Linked DNA regions of Callithrix jacchus. The protein of the gene in region 1 purifies or fractionates together with the protein of each later gene. This does not show direct contact. Links are inferred from orthologs where the notes say so. Each region holds a gene or a part of one and is shown on either strand. Other genes may lie near its edges. The genes, in order: PIDD1 and CASP2.

What was found.
Region 2: the proteins of PIDD1 (region 1) and CASP2 purify together in Homo sapiens (affinity purification with western blotting; 5 studies listed by BioGRID and IntAct, with this or other methods). This does not show direct contact. The link is inferred for Callithrix jacchus from reciprocal best matches to the Homo sapiens genes PIDD1 and CASP2.

The regions. Positions count from the first base shown.
Region 1 is NC_133511.1:131,105,551-131,108,160, forward strand, and holds the end of PIDD1 (p53-induced death domain-containing protein 1), read left to right. Parts: intron 1-389; coding exon 390-540; intron 541-628; coding exon 629-752; intron 753-837; coding exon 838-1,145; coding exon of another isoform or gene 1,146-1,264; coding exon 1,265-1,464; exon of another isoform or gene 1,465-1,487; intron 1,488-1,685; coding exon 1,686-1,944; 3' UTR 1,945-2,064; downstream 2,065-2,610. UniProt on the Homo sapiens protein: Component of the DNA damage/stress response pathway that functions downstream of p53/TP53 and can either promote cell survival or apoptosis.
Region 2 is NC_133512.1:104,204,668-104,208,484, reverse strand, and holds part of CASP2 (caspase-2), read left to right. Parts: intron 1-1,937; coding exon 1,938-2,087; intron 2,088-2,832; coding exon 2,833-2,942; intron 2,943-3,099; coding exon 3,100-3,231; 3' UTR 3,232-3,817. UniProt on the Homo sapiens protein: Is a regulator of the cascade of caspases responsible for apoptosis execution. Might function by either activating some proteins required for cell death or inactivating proteins necessary for cell survival.

The DNA.
Region 1 (2,610 bases):
GAACGCTGCCGCCTGGGCCATGGGTTCTTGTCCTGGCATAACTGTTTTCCCTTAAATCATGCTCTGCGCTGTGTCTGCTCTAGGCTTTCCTCTATGATCTAAGATATAATTGTACAGATAGAGAGAAATAACTGGGTAGTAAGATACTCTTCAAGCACTAATTGTTCCGACTCTAAATTGATACGTGATTATATATAAAGGATTATATAAAGGAAATGACTGAGCAGTAACACCATAAACTGAGATATTCTCCAGGCACTAATCATGCTGGGGACCTGCTGAGCTCTTCTTCCTCGGCGCACAGATCCGGGGTTACCCACAGTCAGTGCCCCCAGCTTCCTCAGCCCCCTCCCCGTCTTTACAGCCTCCCTCACCCCCCGCCCTCCTAGGTACTGGCTCTGGTACACCACCAAGAACTGCGTGGGAGGCCTGGCTCGGAAGGCCTGGGAGCGGCTGCGGCTGCACCGTGTGAACCTCATCGCCCTGCAGCGGCGCCGGGACCCTGAGCAGGTCCTGCTGCAGTGCCTGCCCCGAAACAAGGTGGGGACATGGGCTCGGGGGCTCAGGGCGGTGGCCGGAGGGCTGGGGTGCCGGGTTTTGGCTACCGAGCTACACAGCGTGCCTGCAGGTGGACGCCACCCTTCGGCGGCTGCTGGAGCGCTACCGTGGCCCGGAGCCCTCCGACACGGTGGAGATGTTCGAGGGCGAGGAGTTCTTTGCGGCCTTCGAGCGAGGCATTGACGTGGATGCTGGTAGGGCCTCCCCGTCCTGGAGAGGGAGCCCTGCTGTCCTCCCTGTGTCCCCTGCTCAGCCCCGTCCCACCACCCCATCCCCTAGACCGCCCTGACTGTGTGGAGGGCAGAATCTGCTTTGTCTTCTACTCACACCTGAAGAATGTGAAGGAGGTGTACGTGACCACCACCCTGGATCGGGAGGCTCAGGCTGTGCGGGGCCAGGTGGGCAAGGGGGTGGGCCCCCCAGGCTGCCTGGGCACAGGGCCGAGCTCTGAACCCCATTCAATGCCCCCTCAGGTGTCCTTCTACCGTGGCGCAGTGCCCGTGCAGGTGCCCGAGGAGGCGGAGGCTGCCCGGCAGAGGAAGGGTGCAGACGCCCTGTGGATGGCCACTCTGCCCATCAAGCTACCGGTGGGACTGAGGGACAGTGGAGGGGTGGGGGCAGGACTGAGGCCCGGGGCGGAGCCCAGGGGCACGTGGTGGAGTCTGGGGCAGAGCCCAGGGTTTTCTGCTCTTTCTCCTTCCAACAGAGGCTTCGGGGGTCCGAAGGGCCACGGCGAGGGGCTGGCCTCTCCTTGGCGCCCCTGAACCTGGGAGATGCTGAGACCGGCTTTCTGACGCAGAGCAACCTCCTGAGCGTGGCTGGGCGCTTGGGTCCGGACTGGCCGGCCGTGGCCCTGCACCTGGGCGTGTCCTACCGAGAGCTGCAGCGCATCCGGCACGAGTTCCGGTGAGGCTTCCACTGGCTGTCTGGAGGGCCCCCCTGATGCTGCCTGGCGGGCCTGTTTCTTCCAGAGGAGGTGGGGGAAGGGCAAACACCAGGCTGGAAAGGAACCATCTGGCCAAGGTTGGCCCAGGCAGCAGGGAACTCCCCGACACTCTGAGGCAGAGCATGGTGGGGGAACTGGGCAGGTGGGCAGGACTCCCTCTGTCCCCGTCCTCTGCCCACAGGGATGATCTGGACGGGCAGATCCGTCACATGCTCTTCTCCTGGGCTGAGCGTCAGGCTGGGCACCCGGGAGCTGTGGGGCACCTGGTGCAGGCCCTGGAGCAGAGTGACCGGCAGGACCTGGCTGAAGAGGTCCGGGCGGTCTTGGAGCTTGGCCGCCGCAAGTACCAGGACAGCATCCAGCGCACGGGCTTGGCCCCCAAGGACCCCGAGGTGCCTGGCTCGTCGGCCCCACAGCCCTCAGAGCCTGCCCAGGCCTAGGCCCCACAGACTTCCGGCTGGCCTGGACTTTTCCCAGAGGATGGGCAGAGCCCCCACCTTCAGGCCTCTCCAATGTTTGGGGTCGGGGTTCTCCGTGCACATCAAACCTGCACTGTTTGATTTGCTGTTTCAGAGCTTGATTTGTTGGATGGAGAAAGCACTGGAGGGCAGGGAGCGGGTTGGCAGGGTCATCAGAGGCCCAGCCCTGCTAGGAGGGAGCCCTGCCTGAACACATGCCCCACAGCCTGGTCCTGTCCCCTTCCACTGTGCCTGGGGCCTCCTGTGGGTCCTGATCTTCCTGGGAGAGAGGACCCGTGCTACAAGGTAGCCCAAATGGGCTACTTCGTTTTTCTTTTGAGACAGAGCCTGTCTCCCAGGCTGGAGTGCAGTGGCCTGATCTCGGCACACTGCAACCCCTGCCTCCCAGGTTCAAGCGATTCTCCTGCTTCAGCCTCCCGAGTACCTTAGGCTAGGGGCACTTGCCAGCATGCCTGGCTAAGTTTTGTGTTTTTAGTAGAGATGGGGGTTTACTATGTTGGCCAGGCCAGTCTCGAACTTCTGACCTCAAGTGATCTGCCCGCCTTGGCCTCCCCAAGTGCTGAGATTGCAGGCGCCTGGCTCCAGGTGGGCTGCTTTGGATACAAAGTCGCTTTTCGGCAGGGCGAC
Region 2 (3,817 bases), on another chromosome or scaffold:
ACTGTGGGTATCATGTAAAAAACAAATAGGAGGATATTGTGACAAAAGAACTAATGGCATTGATTGATGGGTCTGTGATATAAAGGTGAGAGAGGAATTCTCCTTTCTCTTTATCTTGGCCTATTACTATTAACTTGGTGTCATTACTAACTATTAGTTGTGGTCATTTTCTCCTCCTATATCCAGGGATTTAATGCACTATGGGATCTGGATAAGGAGTAATTGCTCTTTTCTGGAGTAATCTGAATCTTTTGCTGTCTCTCCAACTTCTCTGAAATTAAATCCTTCAAGGAATGACCAGTAGCCAACTGATCTTAGAAAACTTGAGTTCTCCTGTGTTCCTGCTGTATTTGGTTAATATAATTAATACCTAGAAAAAGCTCCAACCCCTGCCCCAATTGGCTTCTAAACTGGAATGTAAGCCCTATGACGGCAGGAGTTTTCTCTTCACTCTGTCCCCAGGGATTAAAGTCAAATAGTGCCCAACACCTGGCAGTTGCTTGACACAATTTCATTAAATCTGCGTTTTGGTCCTTTTCCCCACAATTCTTGAAGCTTCCCTTCCTTCTTAGTCTCCTTTGTTGTTGCCTGGAGCAGGGAGTACTATAAAACAGCATACTCTTACTTTTGATGTGTTGACCTGAAAGTCCTCCCTATCTCTCTTCCCTCCTGACAGCACCCCTGCCCACACCCAAAACAAAACATCATCATCAAAAATAAGAATCTGTCTTGTGATAGATAAGGCCTTTATCAAGAACATGGGCATCTGCTCAGGGTATGTTGAGAAACTACTGCTAAAATTGAATAAGGATGATCTTCTTCAATTTTCTGGGAGAAAATAGTCTAATTCTCCCCATTTTAAGTTTTTTCTCTTTTAAAATTTTCTTACGGCCAAGCACAGTGGCTCATGCATATAATCCCAACACTTTGGGAGGCCGAGGCGGAAGGATCCCTTGAGGCTGGGCATTCGAGACAAGCCTGGTCAATGTAGTGGGACCCCATCTCTGTTGGAAAAAAAAAAAAAAAAGATTAAAAAAATTTTTTATTGGCCAGGCATCCCAGCACTTTGGGAGACTGACGCAGGTGGATCACAAGTTCAAGAGATGGAGACCATTTTGGCCAACATGGTAAAACCCCGTCTCTACTAAAAACACAAAAATTATCTGGGTTTGGTGGTGCACCGCTGTAGTCCCAGCTACTTAGGAGGCTGAGGCAGGAGAATTGCTTGAACTCAGGAGGTGGAGGCTGCAGTGAGCCGCGGTTGTGCCACTGAACTCCAGCCTGGCAACAGAGCGAGACTGTCTCAAAAATTTAAAAAAAGGTTTTTTTCTTAAGTTTTGGATGCTTGCTCTAATTATCTTATGAAATTAACAAACAAGTACTGAGTGCTTCAAAGATACCAAAATCACCTTGGAAACAACTGATCATATTTTTTTGATACATTGTTTGAAATTGTGATTTTTTTATACAGCATACTTATAGTAACCATATTTGTTATTACTTTTTTTGTTTATGTAATAAAATTAAGTGTATCAATATTTTATTATGTACTGCAATAAAAAGCACTATGACTCCCAGGCATATTGTTAATTGAACAAGTGAATTGTGGACTTAGATGATTCCATTTACAAGGAGTATTTGATTGGGCATTTTCCCTGTTTTACACAGAATGGGAACTGCTCTAGCCACATAGATGTGCATGTGCTTGAGCGTGGTACCTGGCCTGTGCGAGGCATCCCCTGAGTAACAGATGCATGCTGGGAGAGTAATGATTTTTTTTTTTTTTTTTTTTTAGTTTATCAACCATAGGTTGGAGGCAACAGCTGGAAATGGCTCTTCCCCATCAAGGTTATAGGGAACGTGGGCTTGCCTGTGTCAGGCCCAGGAGAGATGGGAAGAAGTAACATCATTGTCCATTCTGTCTGCCTTTGTTACAGATGAGACTGATCGTGGGGTTGACCAACAAGATGGAAAGAGCCATGCAGGATCCCCTGGGTGCGAGGAGAGTGATGCTGGTAAAGAGGAGTTGCTGAGGATGAGACTGCCCACGCGCTCAGACATGATATGCGGCTATGCCTGCCTCAAAGGTACTTTGAGTTCCAAGAGAGTTGAGTCATACCTCGTTTTATTGCACTTTGCTTTGTGGTGCTTTGCAGATACTGGTTGAGTATCCCTTATATGAAGTGTTGGGACCAGAAGTGTTTCAGATTGTGGATTTTTTTGGTTTTTTTGATTTTGGAATTTTTGCACTATACTTACTAGTTGAGTGTCCCGTATCCAAGTATTCTAAATGTAAAATGCTCCAGTGAGCACTTCCTTTGAGCATCATGTTGGTGCTTGGAAAGTTTCAGATTTTGAAGCATTTCAGATTTTTGGATTTGGGATGCTCAGCCATTTTTTTTACAAATTGAAGGTTTGTGGCAATCCTTTATCGAGTGTCTGTCAGCACCATTTTTCTGTTGGCATGCCTCTGTTAGCATTTTTCAGCAATAAAGTGTGTTTTAATTAAAGCATATGCATTTTTTTAGACATAATGCTGTTGCACACTTAATAGACTGTAGAATAGTAACCATAACTTTCATACACACCGGGAGACCTGAAAGTTCGTATGACTTGCTTTATTGCCATACTCACTTTCTTGAGCTGGTCTGGAAACAAACCTATAGTATCTCCAAAGAATGCCAGTAATCCAAAAGAGTGTACCCTCCTAAACTTGGATTCTTCATGCTGGGCTCTGACTGGGGAGGGTGCAGGTGCCATGGCCGAGTCTAGTTTGGGAAGTCCAGCTGTGTGAGGGCACTCACACTCTGACTAATGCTCTTTTGGTTGCAGGGACCGCTGCCATGCGGAACACCAAACGAGGTTCCTGGTACATCGAGGCCCTTGCTCAAGTGTTTTCTGAGCGAGCTTGTGATATGCACGTGGCTGACATGCTGGTTAAGGTGAGTCTGCAGGCTCCGTGACCCCCATACGTCTCCACAGTGCTCTGTTTTCCTCTGCCCTTGAATGCCCTTTCATAGTCCGTCTCCCCTTCCCATTATGCTGCCCTCATGAAGCCCGAGATTCTCAGACTTGGGCCTATTGCTTCCACCCCTCCAGGTGAATGCACTTATCAAGGATCGGGAAGGCTACGCCCCTGGCACAGAGTTTCACCGGTGCAAGGAGATGTCTGAGTACTGCAGCACTCTGTGCCGTCACCTCTACCTGTTCCCAGGACACCCTCCCACATGATGCCGCCTCCCCATCGTCCACGCCAAGTGGAAGCCACTGGACCACAGGAGGTGTGATAGAGCCTTTGATCTTCAGGATGCACGGTTTCTGTTTTTCCCCCTCAGGGATGTGGGAATCTCCCAGACTTGTTTCCTGTGCCCATCATCTCTGCCTTTGAGTGTGGGACTCCAGGCCAGCTCCTCTTCTGTGAAGCCCTCTGCCTGTAGAGCCCGCTGTGGTTGGACCTATTGCCAGGAATGTTTTGGCTGCAGGTGAAGAGCCTGACAAGTGAAGTAATAAACACAGTGTGGTTATGGGGAGAGGGCATATAAGCTCCCCCATATTTGGGTTCAGTTCTGGCTTTTGTAGATGCCACTTTAGTCATTGCTGTTATTTCATTAGTTAAGATGTCTCAGATGTCATCTTTTCTTTCATTCATATCCCCAGCCGTTTTTGTCCTAGAGAGAGTTTGGAAGCTGTCCAAATTTAATGTAGACATTACTGTTTGGCTCTGAAGAGGCAAACATGACGAGAGACGCACCTTGCTGCAGTGTGCAGAAGTGGCCTGTGCGTTCCCTTCTCTACTGCAGGGCCACCCAGTGGAAAG